Linked DNA regions of Medicago truncatula. The protein of the gene in region 2 binds, or shares a complex with, the protein of the main gene of each other region. Links are inferred from orthologs where the notes say so. Each region holds a gene or a part of one and is shown on either strand. Other genes may lie near its edges. The genes, in order: mitotic-spindle organizing protein 1B and gamma-tubulin complex component 2.

Evidence for each region.
Region 1: gamma-tubulin complex component 2 (region 2) and mitotic-spindle organizing protein 1B share a complex: the UniProt entries of both Arabidopsis thaliana proteins name them as parts of the gamma-tubulin complex. The link is inferred for Medicago truncatula from reciprocal best matches to the Arabidopsis thaliana genes AT5G17410 and GIP1.

The regions. Positions count from the first base shown.
Region 1 is NC_053045.1:59,334,824-59,347,849, reverse strand, and holds mitotic-spindle organizing protein 1B, read right to left. Parts: upstream 5,945-13,026; 5' UTR 5,667-5,944; intron 2,862-5,666; 5' UTR 1,742-2,861; coding exon 1,505-1,741; 3' UTR 1,376-1,504; downstream 1-1,375. Other genes in the region: ABC transporter B family member 3, read right to left, coding at 7,801-8,157, 8,945-9,238, 9,355-9,618, 9,724-9,990, 10,135-11,000, 11,109-11,382, 11,535-12,060, 12,142-12,380 and 2 more. UniProt on the Arabidopsis thaliana protein: Required for gamma-tubulin complex recruitment to the microtubule organizing centers (MTOCs). During mitosis, modulates gamma-tubulin complex localization, spindle stability and chromosomal segregation. Necessary for gametophyte development and embryogenesis.
Region 2 is NC_053049.1:2,944,788-2,957,331, forward strand, and holds the start of gamma-tubulin complex component 2, read left to right. Parts: upstream 1-6,192; 5' UTR 6,193-6,421; coding exon 6,422-6,484; intron 6,485-7,306; coding exon 7,307-7,444; intron 7,445-8,070; coding exon 8,071-8,202; exon of another isoform or gene 8,203-8,219; intron 8,220-10,092; coding exon 10,093-10,176; intron 10,177-10,259; coding exon 10,260-10,358; intron 10,359-10,488; coding exon 10,489-10,580; intron 10,581-11,365; coding exon 11,366-11,438; intron 11,439-11,539; coding exon 11,540-11,692; intron 11,693-11,809; coding exon 11,810-11,929; intron 11,930-12,045; coding exon 12,046-12,099; intron 12,100-12,544. Other genes in the region: G-type lectin S-receptor-like serine/threonine-protein kinase RLK1, read right to left, coding at 1,047-2,089, 2,388-2,502. UniProt on the Arabidopsis thaliana protein: Gamma-tubulin complex is necessary for microtubule nucleation at the microtubule organizing centers (MTOCs). Required for the positioning of the gamma-tubulin-containing complex on pre-existing microtubules and for the proper organization of cortical arrays.

The DNA.
Region 1 (13,026 bases), on a different chromosome or scaffold from region 2:
AAAAATTTAGTTATTTTTTCCCTTAAAAAAATTAGCTATTTTTCTTTCATATTTTAATTATTTCAAAAATTAATCCTACGGTCGGTCCACTAATTTGAAGTTTGCGAAGTTACTCTATAGAGCCACTAAGGTTATAAATGCCCTAATTATAGTGGTTTCCTACCGAAACAACCTGCTGACTATGAGTGAAGGAACGAGTTTTATATGGATTTCAACGTGAACCTATGCGAGCAACACATTCATTACTAGGGAACATTATTATGCTTCCTACCCCAAAAAAGTTTAGTTTCTTTTCTTATAAATTTGTTATTGATTTCTAATAGATTATACAATGAACCAAACTAAAAAGTATCTTTGCATACGGAGTTGGGCAATGACATGAAATTGTCATAAGCAACTTTAAACAATAGTCACAAAAATGGCCAAAAGGGTTGTGAAAATCATCCTATATTGAATTAGTGATGAATCGAAGATATTGGATTACAAATGAGTATATGAATTTACTAGAGTTTATGGATGAATGAATATTTGATTGTTTAGGGTTAACTACCACAATATTTTGAACTGCGATTCAAATCTCTGTCATCAAAACTGCATTAGAAAGAAGAAGAAAAAAAAAAGAAGAAAAACTCTTGGGGTTATAACAAATGCATTTGAATTTCGCTCACAGGACCTAATCTTCTTACTATTCATGAAATTATACTTTTTTTTTTTTTTTAAAGAATTCATGAAGTTATACCTGCCATCACAAACATTCCACATAAATACATTAGAGCCCTCACAAGTTGATGAAATGTAATTTCTATAAAAGATGCAGACATTACGATTCCTACACCAAGGCATGAAAACAAAGTATAAAAATCCTAAGAAACGACATGTACTGAGTAAACTAAGTTCAAACCAAAGGTTATTGAACCTAAACAAAAGAATAATAGGCAAGTCTCAAAAAGCTAGGAAGCTTCAAGCCTGATTTAAGTTTACAAATAGTGACCAAAACAAAATGAAAGAAATAAGAACTTATGAAATAGAAAACAATCTGCCCCATCTTTTAGAAATGTAGCTACCAAATAAATACAATATTTGACCTGTATATACGTCACATAAAATAAGAAAGTAAAGCCTTCCTTGTTTCATAAGTGTAATAAGAAAATATATATAAACATTAGGCAGGTACACTATTACTAGGAAACCTTGCTAAAATACATATTGCTTCCAAGATGAATCAATCTTGCAATAAATTCAGATAATAGCTTTTGTAAGAGTTTCTGTCAATTGGAAAAATTAACAAAAAGAACAAAACAAAACTAATACTTCTATCAGGAAGAAATCGAATACACCTAAACTATTCTTCCATTGTTTCTTTTGTCTATAATGCTTTAAAAAATTAACCAACATTTCTTGATAAACCAGTGTCTCAATATGCATACAACAATTCAAATATAAACATAAAAAATACCTTCCATAAAACAACATTGGAGAGAGATATAACAAAATACATTCATGATTAAGAAGGAGGTGTAGGAAGCAATGATGACAGTGGGAGCCTCTCCTTTCTAAGTTCCTTGACAATAGCAGCAAGTGCTTCAGGATTGACCCCAAGATCACAGAGGGCAATGAGAATAGAAAGTGCATGACGGTCTAAACCCGTGTCGAGTATATTGGACATGTGAAATGCCAGGTCCAAAGATTCTCGTGCACTTCTTGCAGCTTCAGGATCCATGCTTAAAGCTGAGATGTGCATATGATATGTTTACTAGTTCAGAATTGCAAAATGAAAACACCTAAACACATGTCAAAGTTACCTTCTAAACTACTATCTAAAACCTAAAGTCAATGTTTTCAAACCAGACCTGAAGTTGAACTGGCGAGACCCCAAGTCATGGTCCAACCGTCGGTAGAACCAGTTAATAACAAATGTAAAGCTAAACTTCATAGATAACTGATAAATGGCTATAACTTGTAAAATAAAGCACATAACAAATACACAAAAATCCATGACATATAATATACATTAAAATCCCATCGTCTAAAACAAACAACAATAAAACCCTTAAACAAAGATAAGTTTTCTTAATATAAATTAAAACATCAAACCTCATGTGCAGTCAATTATGGGTGCCTGGTGGATCAATATCACCACTACAAAGAACACAGCAGGATCAATGGGAAAAGTACTACACATAGGAAGAACAAAAAATGTTGAAGAATCACAAAAATGGGAACTTCGGTTCGATTCCAAGAGTACATGATTGCCTTATTGAAGTTGGAAAAGGCAATTGCCTCTTAGAATTGAACTGAAGTCCCATTTTCCTTACAGTCCTCCTAACTTGACTTACATGAGGGCTTCCCTTGCAGCCACTAGTTTAACAACATGTATCAAAATTAGATGATGCAACCCAACCAAGTAAAGTCAATAACGCTGACGATTTTTATCATGTTACAATGATATTAAAGAGTATAACACGTGAAATTTGATTGAACATGGTAGGAAGACTACTATTTTATCTATGAGTGATTTGATCTTTATTCAACATTTAAAAGTTCTATAAAATTCAGTTGTCACAATTATGCATTAATTTATTAGGTTTGGAACATATTATTCGTGTAGGTAGAGTACTTCGAATTCTAAGTGAAACACATTCTCAATCAGGGGTTCATGACATTGTAATGTGGACATTAATGTCACAAAAAGATGGTATGATGATAGGCTTACTAATTAAAAATTTCAAAAACTTATATGCAGATGATGTCCTCGACAAACTAATTTATGATCGAGGAAAATATTATTAAGGACAACAGACGAAAATGGGTTTCTTCAGGCCTCCCTTTTCATGGCGACTACGAAATGAAAATTAGTCACCCTGTAAAAAAAAATTACACATTGGATACAATTGAGTTCAAAGTGAATCCAAAAAAAAAAATATCATATCATATTCAATATGATTAAGAATATTGATCAGATGTGCTAGTGTAATTTTCTAACATTTTTAAATGAATTAACGCGATGAATCTCGCAAGAATCATGTTTAAATGAATTAACATGATAAAACCTAGCTACAAAATTAGCGAGTAGAAATTATAACATTCTAATCATGCTCTATGAAGACTGAAGAGGACAATTTGTGAGTGAGAATTATTCCTTTTTTTTTTTTGTTCAGAAAATGGTTTTAGAGTGAGAATCTCCGAATAACATATAAGAACAAAAGAGTTATTATTGATGATCAAACACAGTTGAACTCGTCTCATGGAGTTACTAGGAAACTGCCAATTTTGATGTGAATCACAATCATGACAGTAAAAGGCACAGACTTTCTTGCAACATCATGGATGATAATGAAAAGATTAAGGAACAAGTTGTGTTGCTAACAATTGATATGTTACAAGTGATTTTGATGAATTATTAAAGAATAATAGCCACAATGAAATGAAGAAGTGGGTGTTAAGGTTTAAGATTCCTAAAGACAAGATTTTTTCAAACATCACGATTGCAAGGAACGTGACTCCTATAATAACGATAATAACGATATTGAAGAGAAGAAGATTAACGAAAGTGAAACTGAATTAGGGTCAATAATTGTTATGAATTTTGAATTGAACGAGCTTCCAAGTGATGGTTTTGAAGATGAAACCAACTAGTGTCTTTTTTTTTGTTATATAAATTGAATGAGAAATGATAATATAATTTGTGTTCCATACCCTTAATGTTGTCATGTAATTTTCCTTATTGAGAATTTTTATTATTATGCCGTTTGTATTTTGTATACTGCTCAATAATACGTGTGATATTATAATTTAAAAAACTATCAAAAAGGCAAATTTAAATAACAACATCATGGCTATCCCACACAAAAATCATAATATTATTCGTAACAAAAAATATAAACAAAAAAAGAGATGATAATTGGTTTCATATTCAAAAGCATCACTTGGAAGATCATTAAAATCATAATTCATAACATGTATTGATCCGAATTAAGTTTCACCTTCATTAATCTTCTTCTCTTCAATATGGTTACAAGAGGCAATTCCTTGCAATCTTGAGATGTTCGAAAAATCTTATCTTTAGAAATTTTGAAACTCAACGCCGAATTGTTCTTTTCATTGTGGCTATCATCCTTCTATGATTCATCATCACTCGTAACATGACTAATTGTTAGCAGCACACTTCCTTCATCTTCTCTTTACCATATATCATATTGCAAGAAAGCTTTTGTATTTAACCGCCACGACAGGTGTTGAGGTTCAAGATTCCTAAAGACAGATTTTTCAAACATCACAAGATTGCAAGGAACATGACTCCTCTAATAATGATATTGAAGAGAAGAAGATTAACGAAAGTGAAACTGAATTAGGGTCAATAGTTGTTATGAATTTTGATTCGAATGAGCTTCCAAGTGATGATTTTGAAGATGAAACCAATTAGTGTCTCTTTTTTGTTTATGTTTATTGTATGAGAAATGATAGCATGATTTTTGTGTGGGATACCTTTGATGTTGTCATGTAATTTTCCTTATTGAGGATTTTTAGTTATAATATATTTATGGATTATTAAGCGGTTTTATTATGTATTTCATAAAAGGCTCAATAATACATGTGATATTATAATTAAAAAAATTGCCAACAAGGCAAATTACATAACAACATCAAGGGTATCCACACAAAATCATAATATCATTCCTAATAAAAAATATAAACTAAAAAAAGACGCTAAATGGTTTCATATTCAAAAACATCACTTGGAAGCTCATTAAAAATTCATAACATGTATGGACCCGAATTAAGTTTCACTTTCATCAATCTTCTTCTCTTCAATATCGTTATTAGAAGCGGTTCCTTGCAATCTTGAGATGTTTGCAAAATCTTGTCTTTAGAACTCTTGAAACTCAACGCCGACTTGTTCTTTTCATTGTTGTTATCATCCTTCTATGATTCATCATCACTGGTTACATGACCACTTGTTATCAACACACTTCCTTCCTTTATCTTCTCACTATCATATTGCAAAAAGCGTAATTCACAAACATTGGCAATTGATGGCTCATCACTCTTCTAATGTTCTTAGGGGAACCCTAATTCTCACTCTAAAGTCATTTTAGCCAGAAAGAAAAAAAAAAATGGTATAATTCTCACAAGTTCTCCTCTCGCTAAATTTGTGAGTTTAATTACTTTAAACATAATTCTTTTGATCTTTATCATGTAAATTCATTTAAAAATAATTAACAAAGTTCGTTTGAGTTTTACATATTAATATTGTTGAAAATCACACTAACACAACAAATCAATATTGTTAATTATATTGAAAATGGTATGATTCTTTTGTTTTTTGGATTCATCATTTGAAAGCACTTGAATCCGTTGCCATGAAAAAGGAGACCTCCATATAAGTGTTGACGGGGATTATATTCTCATAAATTAATTGTGTTCACAAGATCATTGCAAACAATCGTGACATTGATAATAACAATAATAATAATAGTAAAATTTAAGAAAATAACAAAATTCAATGCAGTGTTGCAATTGTGATTCACAGTACTCGGTACGGCAACAAAAAGTGACTCATAAAAAAACAATCAGCAATAATACTTAATTCAATTCAATGTTAAAATTGTGATTTATAAGTGATCGGTAGTAATTCTGAAAGAAAAGAAAGGATCAATCGATAAAACCTGCTGATGCGAAGGTGAAAGATGTTGCGGCGTGGCAGAGAGATTGCAGAATCAGAACCTATGCCAACTGCGAAACAGAGATGAAAGGCTTGGACGGAGCGGCGGTGGAAAAAAGAATAAGAATTAAAATTAATTTGAGATTTTAGGTCGCAAATTTTGTATTTATAGATGAGTTTAGGTCGGTAATTGTGTATTCTTTTAGGCAATTATTTTTCTCACCATACTTTCTTTGCCCTTAGTCTTATTCCCAGCATATTTTTGATGTTTGTGTTTATTAATTCGAACTAGAAAAACACGATTTAGAATCCTTGTAGTGGGTTAATAATCCAATATCACAAGTTTTGAAGTAAAAACTCATCAACTAGCCTAAAAATTGGATTTTTTTATAAGACATGGCGGAAACATCGAACAATGGCCTTAGGATGTTTAATATGATTCTTAAATTGGTTATCCTACACAAAAATGCTTAGTCTTTTGTGTTGATAGCAGGATTCAGATTATATAATCTGATATATTTTCTCATGAATTCTTAACATAAGAAGATGTATAGGGAGTTCGGATTTTATGTTTCCAAGTATGTTGTACAAGGAGTGTTCGTATTATAAAATACGAAGTACTTTTTTTTTTTCTTTTCAAATTTTATAATCCAAATTGGTGGAAAAAAACAATGTTCTACAAAAAAAGGAAAAAAAAAACTCACTTCGGATTATATAATATGAAAATCTTAAAGGCCTTTTTAAAATTGAATCAAACACATCAAATTAAATATATTTCCTCCCTTCCAAAACTCTCGAACCAAACGAAAGTTAATTACCTTTTTTTAATTAGCTTCATATTTGTTTAGGGGTAACAAACCACCTTTCCGCTCCCTTTTCACCGAGCATCACAATGGTGTGTGCTTCGTTTATTTAACATCTAAATACATACCTATGTTGTCAAACGATAATTTTGAGTTCTTCTAGAGAATGATGTTTATTAAAAGAATCTTTGTTGTTTATTTTTGCGGACCCAACTTAATAAAATATTTTAAAATAAATTAGTTTTGTTTAATGGTAATGATATGGTTATTTATAGAATTTATTTATTACAACAATTGAAATGTTGAGTTGAAGAAATTGAATGCTCATTAGATATTATTAGTTATTGATATCCAAAATTATAAAATGAACTATGTGAAATCCACTTAAGCATTTTTTTAATGACAAACATTATTATGTTATATGTTAGTATTTTTCTCATTAAACGAACTTGAACTACCCTAAATTTTTATCACCTCGGCTTCTTTAATCTTTAGGTTCAAATCAACGAACTTGAACTACCCTAAATTTTTATCACCTCGGCTTCTTTAATCTTTAGGTTCAAATCAGTTGAGTTATCCAACTTTTTTTTATACTTACCACATTTATCCAACCTTTGGTACCCATTTAAACAATACAGGAGTTCCTATGTGTCTTGTAATTGATTATCTTTTACTTACTTTTCTTTATCGTCAATAATAATAATAATCAATTATCACATTTAAATTTTAGATTTTTTAAAATAAAATACAACGTGAAAAAATAGAATTAGAAAACAAAATGATGATGTAAAGTTTTTTTATATAAAAAAAAAAAAAAAAGAGAGTAGAAAATGTACATAAACAAAGCTAAATAATATCAAATTTAATGAATTAGAAGGAGAACAGAAGATATAGTCAAAGTACCGTATGAAAAATCATATTTTTACCTAAAAATATGAAACAGTTATTAAATTAATTGATAGAAAATCAAGATTTCTTATAGAATATAAAAAGTAACAGTATATATAAATACAACAATGTGAAGAGTCTTAAGATGAAGTGGTGCTACTTAAATTGTGTTAACCCTATAATTTGTTGTTAAAATGACACAATTCATTGTTAAATGTATACTTAAGCATTTTACCAAAAAAAAAAAAAAATGTACACAATAGTGTCAATCGTACTGGAGGTAATAAGCATGTATATAAATGCTTCTATATATTAGATGCAGCAGAATGTGTGTGTATAAAAAAAAACTTTTTCAAAATAACTTATTCTAGAAACCATGCAAAAATAGAATTTTTTTTTTTTTTTTGAAGAAGCATGCAAAAATAGATTGAATAGGTTGAAAGAGTCTTAAGATGAAGCAGTGCTAGTTGTGTGCAATGCTACTAAAGAAGCATAGGTGCCACCCTTGTTGATCAATATGTCATGTTTTCCTTTCTCTTCAATCACTCCATTTTTAACAACTGCAATTGAATTTGCACCCTTTATTGTTGATAATCTATGAGCCACCACAATGGTGGTTCTGTCCACCCTCACTCTATCAAGTGCATCTTGAACCACTTTTTCAGACTCTGCATCAAGGGCACTTGTGGCCTCATCTAGTAGTAATATTCTTGGCCTGTTAACTATGGCTCTTGCAATTGCCACACGTTGCTTCTGTCCTCCAGAAAGTTGAATCCCTCGCTCTCCTACTATTGTATCATACCCCTGCATATGTTATTTTTCTAGAATTCAGAACCTCGTAAGGCATGCATCATAGGTAGCTAGTTATTTGAAATATTGCAATTCACACGTTCGTAGCAAGAGTTTTAAGAACAGGTTCAGCTCATTGAGTATTGTGTGCTATGTAGTACTGACACTTTAGATCAAAGACATGTCTAGTGTCTAACACGATGATTCTAACACATGCGGTTACACGTTTATTTTCTTAAATTCTTACTAATGCCTTCGTGTTAGAGTCAACATCGTGTCAGTTAGGACTGTTTAAAAAAAATGTATGGAACAGTTAAACCGAAGCGAACTCCACCATACCGAAAAAATCTAATTGTGACTGACAGTTCACGAACTGGACTGAACTCAGTTCGGTTCAGTTCATGAACTATCTATCATAGTTTGGTTCTTTTATGAGTGATTCGATTTTTAGTTTTTTAAACAGTCATAAAATTCAATTTGGTTTCGTTTTTGGTTTTCTTCAACAGCCCTAATTATCAATTAATAATAGCAATTTGGTACAATTAAATTCACAAAGAACTAGTTCAGTTTGAAAAAAGTACAGTTCGTTTTTTTGTAAAAATATTTTCCGTTTGGTTTGAAACCACTGAATCGGTGCACCGAACCTTTATACTAGTTTGTTTAGGTCCTGGATGAACCATTAAAGGTTTGGTTCATTCTTACCGAAGTAGTAAAAGTTCAGTTTGGTTTCCTCTCTTAACAGAACCATAAACAATTTAGTGTTTGTGTACGTGTCAATGCTTCATAAATTTCTGTAGTTTACCTGCTGCAAACTACTAATGAAGTTATGAGCATTTGCTAGTTCTGCTGCAGCTATAACTTCAGCCTCAGTTGCATTACCACCTTTTCCATAGGCAATGTTAGCTCTGATGGTGTCATTAAACAGCACAGGCTCTTGGCTTACCAGTCCCATTTGCTGCCTAAACCATTTAAGCTGTAGCTTTTGGATTTCTGTTCCATCCAGTTTAATCTGACCTGAATCTGGATCATAAAATCTTTGCAACAATGAGATCACTGTTGATTTTCCACTTCCACTTTCACCTACTAGAGCAACTGTCTGATTGAAACAACCAAACGTTAAGCTTCTCTCTTAGAAAAACCTAGATGGATTTTTTGATAGTGAATTCTTGTGAGAATTATGCACTAAACCAATATATAATATTTTTAATTTACCTGTCCTGAATGAATGGTCAAGGAAAGATTTTTGAATATATGAACATCAGGTCTGGTTGGATACTTGAAAGTGACATGATGGAACTCAATCTCTCCCTTCACATCTTCCAGTATCATTCCTGATTCATCACTGGTATCTATTTTTGATTTCTGATCAAGAATAGCAAATACTGAAGCAGCTGAACTTTTGGCTTTACTAGCTCCTGGAGCCATGAAGCCGGATTGAGATAATGCGACAGCTGCCGTTGTGAGAGAGAAAAATACCTGAAAAGAAATTAAATGTTTAATGCTAAAAGAATGTGATGAGCTCAGAGTTCAACCAAAGAGCACTATATCTGAAATGGCCTCCGAGTTGGGACCGTAACTTACTTGAAAAACTCCTGACATCGAAGTTTTGCCATTCTCAATAAGTTGGGCGCCAGCATAAAAACTGATTGCATAGACACAAAACAGAAAGAAGATTGCTAACCCAAAACCAGTTCCACTGACTAAACCCTGCCTTTTTCCTGTCTGGAATGGTACTACACATTTCTTCTGGTATAATTCCATCACTTTCTCTTCGGCACAGAAAGCAGAAACTGTTCTGATATTCCCTACTGCGTCGTTCGCTACTTGACTTGCTTCCTCGTATAGTTTCTGTGAAACATATTTAGAGCATAGAAACATCATGTCAAATGAAGATTAGTACAAATTTCATATAGAAACAAAATATGTACTAAATAAATTTAGAGACAAAAATGCATTGTGACGCAATTGAAGCACATTGTGTAAGGCACAAACCTTTGCGTCTGTGCTGAATCCTTGCATGGCCTTGATTTGAAAATATCCATTTACTAATAGTAGAGGCAACAAAACAAGAATGATGAGAGAAAGCTGCCAATTTGCCTGAAAGGAAATTACCAAGGCTGTAATAACTGTAGAGATATCTTGAACAAGCAAACCGAGTGCGTCACCAACCAAAGTTCGAATCGAAGCAGCATCAGTTGACAGCCTTGCACCAAGCGCACCACTTGAATTCTCAGCTTTATCAAACCATCCTACTTCCATGTGAATTATTTTCTCGAAGCACATTAACCGGATTCTTTTTATCAATTTAGAACCAGCTACAGCAAAAGAGTATGACCTTAACGGATGAAAAATGAAAGATGCCACGCTAAGGGAAACAAATATTAATGCCCAAAATTTTGAGTCTTTACGAAGTTCATCTGCAGGCTCAAAAAATGTATTTATCATTTTGGAGATTAGAAGGCCCAGAATAGGTAACATTGCACCATTTACTGTTGCTGCCAGAGCTCCCATGAGTAACACCGGGATTTCAGGCTTGTTAAGATAAGCAAGGAGAAAAAATGGGGCATCTCGAGTTTTAGTTGATGATGCTTTTGCTGAAGGAACAACTTCAGACCCTCCTACTAGTGTGTCTGGCATAGAATTTGATGCTATGAATGAGTTGTGACTACTGTTTCCAATCCCTGATGATCCGCGGCTTAAAGACCTTTGGCTTGACTCTCTTCCAGAGTCTACAAAGTTTTCTAGCTTATCCGAGTCATTATCACCAAACTGTTCTGATGAATCCTTTTTAATTTCTTGCAATCTAATGAGTTGACTATAAGCTCCATCAGGATTTTTAGTGAGCTCAGCATGTGTACCTAATAATCAGTTAGTAGAAGATATAAGACTGCTGCATTGCGACATACTTAGTATGCATGCATGCATGTATGTATTTATGTATGTATGTATGTATGTATGTATGTTACCTTTTTCTACTACTTTTCCTTCGTGAATAACAGCAATGATATCAGCGTTCCTTATTGTGCTTAGGCGGTGAGCTACAATGATGGTTGTTCGGTTTATCATAATTCTGTCCAGGGTCTCTTGTACTACTCTTTCAGATTCTGCATCAAGGGCACTTGTTGCTTCATCAAGGAGTAGAATTCTTGGATCTTTCAGAATTGCTCTTGCTATAGCAATTCTTTGCTTTTGGCCTCCAGAGAGTTGTGCTCCATGCTCACCGACCATCGTTTCAAGTCCCTAAATCAATAATTTTCCAGTACTAGTAAGGTAAAAAGGACATTTAAATTTAATGAAAAAATATATACTATAAAATAGTCTCCAGTATTGTGAAAAAGCAGAACAGTGTAGAAATTTTCACAAGATGGATAAATCAAGAAATGAGAGCTTACAAGAGGAAATTTATCGATGAAGTTAGCAGCATTAGCAAGTTCTGCTGCAGCTCGGATTTCTTCATCGGTTGCCGCATCCTTACCATAGGCAATGTTCTCTTTAATGCTACAAGTAAAGAGAACTGGTTCCTGACTCACTAGGCCTATTTTCTGTCTGATCCATTTCAATTGAAATTCTCTGAGGTCAATACCGTCAATGATAATTTGACCATCCTGTGGATCATAAAATCTCTCTATCAAATTTATCACTGTTGATTTTCCACTCCCACTTTGCCCGACTAAAGCCACGGTAGTACCACTTGATATCGAAAGAGAAAATGCATTGAATATTAGTTCATTTGGTCTTGTAGGATAACTAAAGCAAACCTCCCTAAGCTCTATGTCTCCCTGAATGTCATTAAGCTTTAGCCCGATTTTGTCATAAGCATCAATTTCCGGCTTCCTTTTGATTGTTTCAAACATCTTAAAGGCTGCAGCTTGTCCAGCAGAAAATGCTGTTAAGCTCGAAGTTGCTTGTCCTAGAGACCTAGAAAATAAAATTAGCTCATAAAAAGTGATTTATGTATGAGAGTCTAATCTTGCAAAAAAATAACTTAACTTGACTTACAAGGAACCAGTTAGTACTGCAAAAAATACACTTATGACTTCACCTCCTGTATAACCTTTCTCAAGTACCATCTTCCCTCCAAACCATACAGCCAAAGCATAACTGCAGTAAACAAATAAACGAACCGAACCGAGGCCTAAACCAATAGCCAATCCCTCTTGTACTCCAACTTTGTAAGCTTTAGCTAAGGATTGATTGTATTGAGATATAGCTTGTTTCTCGCCGGTAAATGATGCAACCTGCGCGCATTGGAGCAGTTGCGTCGTGTATCCTTAGTTAGAAACATGAAAAAGGAAAGGAAAAAAAGGAAATATTCTCTATGGAGGGAGTTGGCACACATACTGTTCGAATTGAACCGATTATCTGCTCTACTATAGTTGCTGCTTCAGAATATGCCGTTTGTCCACGGGATGCCATCATTGCGAAAGCAAAGCTCATTATGGAACCAGAGAGGACAAGAAGAGGAATAGACGATAGAAGGACAAGGGTTAAAAGCCAACCCAAGATGAATGCCACAACTAAACCTCCTAAAAAACATGACACATATTGTATGAATTTTCCTACCTGCAGAACATATCCACCAAAAAAGGAAGAATGAGTTATTATTATCTTCGAATTTTGTTATCATGGTTAGATCAAATGATGCTGCATTCATACCTTGTCTCCCATGGCTTCTTGAATAAGAACTGTATCACCTGACATTCTTCCAACAACCTCACCACTATTTGTTTCCTTGTCAAAGAAACTGATATCTTGCCTTAAAATTGCTTTGAGGTATAATGCCCTTATTCTTGCAGCCTGTCTCTCCCCTGTGATCATCCAACAAGACACCTCTGCAAAATTTCATGTATTTACCTTTGCTATTTTAATATTAATATAAATTAT
Region 2 (12,544 bases):
TCATAAGCCCAATCAGTTAAGATAGCTTTGTCTTCATCTTCTTCATCCATTTCTTCAACACATTTTCTACATGAAATTATCTCAAGTAGCACTACACCATAACTATACACATCAACCTTAGCTGTGATAGGCATGTTTTTAAACCATTCAAGTGCAACATACCCTTTTGTTCCTCTTATGCCAGTGTTGGTTTTGCTTTGATTCATGTTCAACAGCTTTGCTAATCCAAAATCAGAAATTCTTGCATTGAAGTAATCATCAAGGAGTATGTTCTGAGGCTTTATGTCACAATGGATGATCCTAGTGATGCACTCTTCATGTAAATACACAAGTCCTCTAGCTATACCTATTGCAAGTTCTAGCCTTAGTTTCCAACTTGGTTTTTGTTTCTCATCATCAGCATTGAAAAGAAAACTTGCCAAAGTGCCATTGCTCATGTACTCATAAACAAGCAATCTTTCACTTCTACACTCACAAAATCCAAGTAAACGAACCAAGTTCTTGTGATGAGTGAGACCAATGGAATTCAACTCATTCCTGAATTCCCTATGGGCTTGATCCAACAAAAAACTGTTTAACTTTTGCACTGCCACCCGAGTTTTGGAATCTGTGTCGTTGTTGATGACTCCTTCGTAAACAATACCAAAAGCTCCCCTTCCTAGCTCTTTGTCAAATCCATTGGTAGCTTCTTCAAGCTCTTCATAAGTGAAGCAACACAAATTGGATTTAATTTCAACACACGTGTCACCTTTGATAACTCTTCTAAGCTTTTTCTTGTGCTGAAAAATGGAGGTGCTGACACAGATTGTTACAATCAATACAACATTGAGAATAGCAGAGCTACCAAAAAGCACAGAACCAACCAAAACCAATGTTTGTCTATTATTATTATTATTATTATTATTATTATTGTTATTATTATTATTATTATTCTTATTATTGTTATTGTTATTATTATTATTGTTATTATTATTATTATTATTCGTGTTCACTTCTTTTCTCACTTTTAAGAGAGCCTTGGCACCACCAAGACTCGCATCAACTCTTCAATTTGAGAGTGGTAACTTCTTCTTCCAACAACTATCACCTAACCTCCAAATAGCCACAGAACACATGCAATCTTCCATACTAGCTTTCCTACATTGTTCATCTGTAAAACGCGTTAGAAGCACGGCATCTGATAGAGGCCAATCAGTGTCATTCAAAACCTGAAACTCATATAGATCCTTTGTTTTACTTTGTTCATCTTCTGCACATCCTTGTATGAAATCTGGCTTGCAGCTACCATGTGGATCATCAGGATCAAGCAGTGAGTAACGTTTTGGACACCGACATGTTGGTCTCTTATCATCTCCCAAAGTGCAGATGGTATTATATCCACAAACACCACTACCTGAACTAACAATATATTGACATATATTTTTAGGATGAGACCACACTGTAGTCCAATTTCCACTATCAGTTGAGTTCTTTGGATGCTTGAAAGGTGAAAACACTCCATCAAAATTAAGAGTTGCTCTAAGATAAAAATTAGTAGGGGAGACTTTACTCTCCTCATCTTGTACTCCATCTTCTCCTGAGATATAGAATTTCTCACTGTTCTCTCTCAAGAGATACAAGTCTCCTGATTTGTCAAAGACCAATTGAGCTCCAGGACTTGAAGTATTGGATTCCACAGTTCCACTTTCATAGTAGTTTTCTTCATTAGCATTACCAGATGGTAAGATAATAGAATGAATAACAAGATTACTATCATTTTTTAAAACAAGCTCAAACCTTCCTTTACTGAAATTTGACTCCTTAAGCCTTGAAGAAAGCTTTCCATCTTTTAGAATAACCTGAGAAGGCAACAAGGTGTCACAGGGAAAGTCGAAAGTCTGCCAAAGAGTGTTGAAAGCGCGACCTCCAAGCACAAAGTTCCCCGTGTCATTGAGCACACTGGAAAAAACATCACTACTGAGTTGCTCATTATTCCATAACCTTACACCATTCGGAGAAGTTAGCACCAACCCATCAGTGAAAGTTAGCTCCACTTTTGACCCTATTGTTACAGGACTGACTCCATTAGGATACCACACAACAGTTTTCTCTAAAAAATTTGCATACCAGATGGAAAGCAAAAAATGATCAGTGTTTTGATTGAAAGAAAACCAAAGGCAAAGTCACCAGAAGGTGAAAGCAACCATGGAGAGGTGTTGGTTTCTGAAATATGAAAATCACCAGCTGCTATGGTACTTTTGGTTTGAGCTACAACACTGATGGATTGAAGAATCAGTGAGAAGAGAAAAAAGGGAAGAAGTAGAAAGAAAAAAAAAATTATCAAAGCACTAAAATATAAAAGACAGGAGATGCCTGAACCAATACAACAAAGTCAGTAAGTGTATAACCTGCGAAAAGGAAAATTAGATCTATCCCTGTAACGGAAACATCTAGAGGAAAGAGGTGGCTAAGTCCACCATAATACAGAAAAGCTAAACAGATTGTAGAATCAAATTGATCCATATGATTTATAAAAATTTCATCATCATTAGTCTTTCTTCTTTTCTTTTTTTTTGGCACCAAGTCATTAGTCTTTCTTCTATTTGTTAAATATTCTGTGTAGACTTGGTCATCTCATACTAATAGACAAAAAATGTTATAGAAAAAGAAATGAGAGTAATAATAGACAAAAGATAATAAATGGTGGTGATTATAATAGAAAAAAGACGTTAAAACCCATTGAAAAAAAATATGGTTCTACATGAAAAATTCAAGATTTTTTCCATACATGTTTAAGACATTAAAGTATGGATTTGCACAAAAAAAAATTGGAATTTTTCAACTAGGATAAATTAATTATGAATTTTTAAAACGGTAAAAACTTAAAAAACAAAATAACGGAGATTTTGACTTATAAATCAAATTTTTAGTTATTTGTTTGGAGAGACATCTATAAAAATACATAAAAAAGATTTGCATAGTTTCATGAGATTTCAAAAATGTTTTGATTTATTTTTACTCTCAAACCAAAATATGCAAAATTGTAATTTTGTTTCGAATAAATGTATACTCATAAGTCAAATTTCATTCTTTAATTGTGTAGTCATGGCTAGAACATCGTAAGAATCTTCACGATAAAATTTTAAAGTTTTAAGAAAAGAGAGAGATTAATCATGGCATAAAAAATCATAATTATCAGTCCCTAGTGGAATTTTTTTTGTGTGTAGTCTTATTACAAGGTTAGTATATTTGTTTTTTTATTTATTTTACTGAGACATTTTTCAGACATCAGGTTAATTTGAGCAATTGACCCTGTAAATAAATTAAATATAAAAGGATCCCTAAAAAAATTATATATAAAAGGAATACATTATTTGAATTGACTTTTTCATTTCTTATTATATCTTGTAACAAACTTACCTATAATCTATTACTCTCTCCTTATTTTATTAAACTTGTTTTGATATTTTCACACATATTATGAAATATAGTTAATTTTGTATTGCAAAGAGAAATTATAAATGATTTCACAAAATTATCCCTTATTAATGATATGTGAAAAAAAGATTAAAAAATTGAAAAAAATAGAGTAATAAATGGTAAATGGTACGATAGGAATGATGCATTTCAATTCTAAAGCGACTTATAATAAAACCAATTTTTTTTCTTTTAAAGTGACTTACAATAAAATACGAAGGATAATGCCTATTAAGTATGCATAAACATAATACACCCATAACGCTAGAATTCGGACTCAAAAACACACCAATAAACTATCATATGTGGAGCAAAGGAAAGTAATAACCAGTATCAAAGTAACCACAATGAGCAGCAACAACAACAACAAACCTAGATTTAATCTAGGAATAAAGTGAAGAGTACAAAACCACAAGCAAAAGATAAAGAGATAAGAGAAACAAACACACATAGAAATGTTTACCCAGTTCGGCCCAACTTGACCTACTATGGGGAGAGATTGATCTCTCCAAGCCATTATCAATGAGTTCTTACAAAGAGATACAAAAATGTTACAAGAAATTGGGGAAATGTTTACAAATGTTTTCCTACCCAAGAAAACCCCTCAAAAGAACCTTAATCAAAGGGGCAATGCTATGTTGTAGGAAAGATGGCCGCAAGAATAGCAAGAATAACATTGTCCGCTCTTTTCTAAAAAATAAAAAAGTATTAATCCTTATGTAATGGAAATCACGCCCATGTGTTGGTGAAAATGCACGGCTTGGATATTTTCGTGCGTTTTGTCTCTTCGGGTTCCCTTAAAAACAAGCATTATCCTAAGCAAAAACCCTTAACTCTAAAGTTATCTAATTTGATTTTTTTAAGTTTCTTTCTCTTGAAGCCTTTTATAGTGCTCAGACCCGGCAAAAATGTGCCCCAATTTCAGCAAATTGTGCCCCAATTTACCCAATAGTACCACAGTACACATATTTCCTTATCCAAAATCGGACTTCGATTTTACCAAATTGTGGTCTGAAAAATGTCGAAAGAACACTCCAAAAGTGGGCCAAAATCGTGGCCTGATTTTGGCCTACCCTCTATTCATCAAATTTGAGTCATAATACAACATTTTTTATGTATTTTTCTTTTCACATTTTAGCGTACTATATTAAGGTTAAATATGTTTTTGATCTCTATAAATATATCACATTTAGTCCTCATAAAAAACATTGACATATTTATGTCTCCATAAAAAATAAAAAAAAATTAGCATGCTTATGCAAATATTTTTAAAAAAGGCTAACCATATTTTTAAAAAAGACTAACGAGTGTCTTTGGGGTATTGATTAAAGTATTAAAAGTGGTAAATTTATCTAAAAAAACGTGTAATTATTGGAGTAACTTATATTTTTAAGACAAAATTTCATTTAATGAAATCATTAAATAATGTCCGTAGGGCAATCGTTAACAAGATGTACCAAAGGAAACTTAAAAAATTCTTATGGCAATTAGAAACGAAATGTAATGTAATGTATTTATATTTATATAAATTATAAAGGTGTTTAACCCGATTTAAGTTTTCAAATCCACGGTGGTAGTTGAGAGCTTGAAACGTGTTTCTTCTAACGTATCAGGTTTGATTTTTCCCGATATCAATTTCGATGAGTTTTTTTTTTTTTTTTTTTTAAGTTTTCAAGATTGATACTATTAATGAGAAAGAAAAAAAAAAAGAGTAAATTACACTTCCCTCCCCTCAAAGATGCTTGAATTACACTACCCTCCCCTCTTATGTTAAAATATACATTCCCCTATCCTCTTATTCAAAACTTATTTGAATTTTTTTCACTCCCCTCCCCTAAGAGAAGCTTGAATTACATTCCCCTCCCCTCTTATGTTAAAATATAGAGTAAATTACACTCCCCTCCCCTCAAAGATGCTTGAATTACACTCCCCTCCCCTCTTATGTTAAAATATACACTCCCTTCCCCTCTTATTCAAAACTTATTTGAATTTTTTTCACTCCCCTCCCCTAAGAGAAGCTTGAATTACATTCCCCTCCCCTCTTATGTTAAAATCTACACTTTACTCCTTCAATATTAATTTTTATTTTATTTTTAATAATCTAGCAAAAAAATAATAATCTAACACACTTCAAAAAAATAGTATTGTGGGTCTATTTTAATATAATAAAAATTGAATACATATTTTTCGCTATTTTTTATTCACAATTTCATTAACATGTAGTTTTAAACCCTATTATAAAATATAAACAACCAAAACTAAAATTAAAATATGTGAAAAATTACTAAAGACAAATTAAAAGTTAATTTTATACTCTAAATTATAAAATCAGTAGCAAAATGTTTAAACTTAATTATCATTGACATTTAAATTATAAAGAAATGAATTAATTTTTCTTAAATGGTGGTTTAAAATTGAAATATATTATAAAAATATTTATTTATGTTTAAATAGATTAAAGTGTAGTCCATAGTTAATTATTAAGGGAGAGTGTTGTAATTTAAACATCTTATAAGGGAAGGGATTATAAATTTTATTTTTCAAGAGAGGGGAGTGTATATTTTAATATAAGAGGAGAGGGGAGTGTAATTCAAGCATCTTTGAGAGGAGGAGAGTGTAATTTACTAAAGAAAAATAACTTGGACAATTTCAGAGATAAAATCAAAGTGAGTTTTTGACTTAAAAATAAATAAAATAAAATAAAATAAAAAGGAGTTATTTTGAAAAGTGAAGAATGGAATGGAGAGATTCCTGAAAAGAAGAAACCAGACAAAATTCAAAATAATAGAGAGAATAAAGAAGTAAGAAGAAAATCTAGTGAGTTAACAACTTCACTTCACTCTCTCTGCATTTATCTTCCCATAGTTCATAACATCTCTTTCCCATTTCGATTCGCAAATAATCTTTAAAAAAGCGATTACTGAAAAGCGCTTTTTCTTCCGATCTGCTTTCACTGCATTTCAACATGAATCAAACCGCCGCCGCAGGGTTTGAAAATCTTATCGGCTATTACGATCCTCCTGTTCAAGTACGTTCCTCCCTCTCTCTCTCTCTCACTTATCGAACCATTCTCAGATCTATTGTCACCTATCAACTTTTTGTTCTCTTCATTTTGGTGCTTGTTTTTCGAATTTCTGTGTAGTCTCTAAGAATGTGATTGCTCAAGTATTCTCTAGTAGTGTAATTGCCTTCGATTCTATTCAATTTTTACCTAACATTTTATCTTAGTTCAAAAACCTAACTTCAATTCAAAATACATATGTTTATACTGTATATAAGCTTTTTTATACGGCACATTGCTCGGAATTAAGAAAATGTACTATTTGTTATGCCAAGGGAAGGACCTTTTTTTTTTCAATTTTTTTTTTTTAACAAATTAGACAAAGTGAACTATGCTATGATTATTGGTAAGAAATTAAGGTCCTGGCTATGCTTTGTAGTGTCATCAAGTAGCGGCTATAGCAGAAACAGAATTTTAACATATCGTTATGGTTTTATGACACACATTTTAGTTCAAAGTATCCTCAAATATCGGATATAGGAAAGCATAGCATAATTTGAACAAACTACTACATTGCAATCTGTGATTGACAACAATGTTATTCTTTCATCAAACTGCATAGATTAGGTTTTTTAAATATTTTTGAAAATTATTTCACTTTGTGTCCTCTATATGCTGCCATCTTATTTGGCTTGGTGTTGTATTGGTTTTTAAAGTTTTCTCTTTGTGTGTGTATGTATTCATTTCTATTCATATGTATTCAAGTACTGTGTATATCTGCATTCATATTCAATTTAGGGTTTCAAGATTTAAAAATTTAAGCTATTGTTTTGTTCTACTGAAATATAGGAGCTTATTGTTATTGATGAAGTCCTCTCTGCTATGGTTGGAGTTGAAGGGCGTTACATTTCAATCAAAACACTTCGTGGAAAGAAGGATGAGATTATTAATTTCCTGGTTGACCCATCTATGGATTTGGCACTACAGGTGAGATTTGCATAATTTTTCGCTACCATGGTTTGACCCGCAATCATAACATTAAAGGTGTTAAACCTCCCCCTTTTTCTTTATGGTGATAATAACTGATAACTGATAGGAAGTTTAGATGGCAAGCCAAACTATAGCGGTAACGGAAATACTTTCTATACATTTTTTTTTTTATAGACTAGAAGTTTATAAGGTGTTTAATATGTTCAGTATCATAACCTAGTGCTAAAATAAAATAGGTTCATTAAAGCCATTTAGGTTTTACTTTCATGTTTCTGTATTATTATTTTTTGTAAACTTTAGAAATGGAATATGAAGCATCTATCTTGCAATTCAAATACTGCAATGCTTTTTAATTTAAGTTGCACTCTGTGTTTGGCAGTAATTCAAAATAAAGGAAATTATTTTCTGCAACCATGTTTTCTATATTCGGTCATTGTTTCAAACTGTGATTTGCATCCATAACTCTGCCCCCGAATTGTGTTTTTGGAGGTATCTATTTGCTAAGAAAGCTGATGGGGAATGTAAATTGTCCTATGCTATAGCTGTATTATTCAGATTAGATAATGAACAGTATAATTTAATACAATGATAGAGCTGAGTCTGAGCCAGTTTTGTTGTTGCAGGAGTTGGCAAAACGGATATTTCCTCTATGTAGGAGCTTTTTGTTGATCAACCAATTTGTGGAATCAAGGTCTCAGTTCGAGAATGGCCTAGTCAATCATGCCTTTTCTGCCGCACTTAGGGCATTCCTTCTCGTATGTTTTTCTGAACAGTGAGTCAGTTGGTTGATTTACATTTCGCATGAAGTAATTGTTTGCTTCTTGAAAATATGTTTTCATGTGTCTGTGTGTCTATATATATTCACCTTTTATAAATGGCCCTTAACTTCTTTTGGTAACCTGTTATTGTCTGGTAGACTAATTATTTTTCTTAAGTATTTCAAGTGTTAATGTTTAGTGCATGATGCTGGCTCAGTATACCTGAAGTAGCACCTTCTGATTCTTTTCCGAACGAAGCTTACAGCACACTACCTTTATTTATCTTCTGTTGGGGGCAGGGGATATAAATAGATCATAGTTTCTACGAGGAACTGTTGTTTAGTGATCACTTTTATTTATTTATTTACTTTGAGAATACTCTTTCCTAGGGAATGGCAATCAAACTTTAGTTAAAAGTGTGCATTTAGTTTGTTAATTTTCTCCCCGGTGCCAATTTTGGTGGGCTAGTTTAGCTTCTTAAAAATAAAAGTTTGGTAATTTTCATTTTCTGGACTACAGATTTCTAAGATTGAAAATCAGTAGAGTTAGTTGTCCTGTAGTGTTATGCAAAACCGGCGCTTTAGGTTTAAGGTGTGCCCGACACACACATGACATGTGTCTGACACTCAATTTTAGTGTTGGGATATAATTTGTTTAGGCTTCGATATGTCGAGGACACTGCTCTGACATCTAGCATACCCTTCCGTTTGGCCTGAAATTAAAAGGAACATGGTTGGTACCAAAAACTTTTTTTTTTTTTTAAATGGTGATGAAAGTCCTTTCATTGACTTAATATACTTTTTCACTATTTGGTAATAGATGGATGGATTAAAGGTGATAGACAAAGGTTCAATATCTCATCATATTGTATTGAATCTTTTTTGCAAAGAATTTATCTAAAAAAAAAAAGAATATTTTGTTGCAAAGAATCAAAGTGCTTAACTAACTAGTATTTTTAGGCGTGACTCGTTATGGTAGGAAAATGTAATACTTCAAGTTCTTTCTGTTTGTGTGTCATGGAGTGCTATATTTTGGACATTGCCGGTGTTTATGTGTCTACAATGTGTCGGTTTCAGTGCATCATGAGGTCAAGTCTAAAATTTTATTTAGTATCTTACCCACTTGAATTTTCAAACTCATTTAGGGTCAAATATTTTGTAGAAGTAGTAGGACTCAATATGTTTGAAATGTGCTCTAGTTTAGTTTGGAATGTAGTGTTTTTATTTTCAAAAAATTTTGGTAGAAGAATTTGTAGGATAAGGGATCTTCCAAAAAAAGATGAAACTTCAATGGGCCAAAGTTGCCAGTGCCCGTTAGTGAAATCCCTCCACAAAGATGATACCCCGGGGGTATTACCCCCTTTTGTTGAACTAAAGCAGTTTGTTTGATACTCTCGTAATCTTAGAACCAAGGTTCTGCTGAATAGCTTCCTTCTCCAATACAACAACCAAGCCATGTCCCATTAAGTGGGTCGGCTACATGGATCAAACCACTTCATAATGTCTATCAAATACCATATGTGTATCCAACTCATCAATCCCCAGATCTTTCTTAATAGTTTCTCTTATAGTTATCTAGGTCTTCCTTTACCTCTAGTGATTTCACTCCCCTTCATCTGATCTACTTTCCTTATCACAAAATCATAGGTCTTCTCTCTACATGCCGAAACCACCTAAGCCTATGTAAATATCTGATTTGCAGGTTATTACTTAATGAGAAAGCTAAAATGATTTTAATAAGCAAAAACTAGTAGCATAGCATAAATTAACAAAATAAATCTTCACATCTGTTTCAGTTCTGCCTGCGTATATGATATCTTTTGATTAAAATGTGCAATTTGAATACGAAATTACTTTTACCATTAAGGCATGCCATTATCTTTACCAGGATTACCAGGCCATGGTGGCACAACTTGAGCACCAGTTTCGGCTTGGGAGACTTTCCCTTCAAGGATTGTGGTTCTACTGTCAGGTATGAATTTGTTTCGGATTAAATGTAAATCAGTAAATGTTTGTCAAATTATTGCTGATAATACCTTCAATGATGTGTTTCAGCCCATGTTGAGGTCAATGCAAGCATTGTCTACTGTCATACAGAAGGCTTCAGTCAACAATTTTACTGGTTCCGCCGTTCTTAACTTACTGCAGAGCCAGGTAATGAATATCTCTTGTAATTGTCACCATTTTCTAAAGTCTTCACATGTTAAAAAACTTCCCTTTAGTTTCATGTATCAGTTTCTCAAGCACTTAACTCTCTCTCCACTATGGATTCAATTGTATATAGGCAAAGGCTATGGCTGGAGATAATGCAGTTAGGTTGTTGCTGGAGAAAATGACACAATGTGCAAGTAGGGCCTACATGAGCATTTTAGAAAGGTTTCTATTTATCTCCTTTAATATGCCATTTATCATTGGCTAGCAAATGCATATGTTATTTTCTTCTCCCGTATTCCATCTCCTTTGGGTTATTGGGTATGTTTGGAGAGAAGGGAACCAAATAAGTTAAAGTAAAAATATGGAAGAAAAGAGAGAGAAAAAAAAATGAGGAACGATAAGTAAATAATTTACTTCCTTTTGTGTGGATTTTAAAAAAAATGTTCATAAAATTTAATATAGGTTGATTTTGGATCACCTGAAAATCCTTCATTCGTTTCTTTTCATATAGTTCACAAGGTCCAAGCAAAATGAAGGATTGACCTTCTTTTTCCATTCTCTTCGATCCGTTTACCTAGATCTGATAATTAATATGTAGAGAAAGCCCTATGTTGAATCAGATTAATATTCTACTATTATGCTGTTTGTATTGGAATTTTGCACAAATAAGAATAATTAATCTTGTACATTGGTATGATCTATCTATAACATGTAGAAAAGCCATAGACTTACACCAAATCAAATTAATATTCAGTTATACTGTTTGTATTGGTTTTTACATGAATCTCACTATAAATAAATATTTAAAAGCCATGTCACCGTCTTTTGGCGTCCAGACCATGCTTATGGGGACACATACATCTAAGTTCCCTTTTTCAAACTCCTTATAATCTTTTCTACAAGTTAATTTCCCTTAAGTTATGATTGTCTTGTGCACTCTTGATGTTGAGTTATCTCTAATTAACATTCCATATTATTGTTCATTTGGGAATCAAACAATCCTAAAGATGGGTCTATGAAGGAGTAATAGATGATCCTTATGGTGAATTTTTCATTGCAGAAGACAAATCTCTTCAAAAGGTACCCAAAATTAATATCAAAATATTCAATCACTTATTACAGCCTAAAATTAATATCAAAACTTGTTTTTTCATATGACCTCAGTTTCATATTCTCTATAGGAGAGTCTCACTAAAGATTATGATGCTAAGTACTGGCGACAACGTTATAGCCTCAAAGATGGAATTCCAAGCTTCCTTGCGAATTCTGCAGGAACAATTTTGACCACAGGAAAATATCTAAATGTCCTGAGAGAATGTGGACACAATGTTCAGGTGCTGATACTGTTGTGCTTGTATGTAGAATAAATTTATCTTCTCTTTAGCCATTCAAGTTGGAGTGTGCTTGTGAAATATTTACTGTTCACTAAATGTAGTTACTTTTTATTCTAGGTGCCTCCATCAGAAAATTCGAAACTAATGAGCTTTGGCTCAAATCATCATTATCTTGAATGTATCAAGGCTGCTTATAACTTTGCAAGTGGTGAACTCGTGAATCTCATTAAGGAAAAGGTGATTTTAAATATATTTAGGCTTTTTAAGTTCTCAGCTTACAGTTTAATGCTTCTGCAATATTTGTTATTGTTTAAAATCCAAGTTCTGATTGTGAATTGTGTTTGTATGTGTAGTATGATCTAACAGGAAAATTGCGGTCTATAAAACACTACCTTCTTCTTGATCAGGTATGATCATGTTCGTCTTACATTGTTCAATTCGGAGACAATAACTACCAATACTAGAAAACCTAAAAATGGATAAAGGATCGAAATTTAAGGTTGTGTTTGTTTTGTGCGTTTTCCTTAATTTTCAATTTTCAGTTAATATGTTTTCTCTAATAATCACAAAGATGCTAACCTGTTTTGCTTTGTTTCCTGTTTGCAACAATTTGCAAAGAAAATGGTATAAACAAACAGGAAAGGTGGGAATATGTTGGTATTTTTGCAATTATTGATGAGTGCAAAAACAAATGAAATGCACACCATACGTAACCTAAGTATTCCTTTACTTCCACCTTCCTTGTAAGTTGTAACGACTTTAGAGATATTACGTGATATCTTACTGTTTGTAATCTGAAGACATATGATGGTTTTGAATGAAGCAATAATAAATGCAGTTCTAAATGCCCAT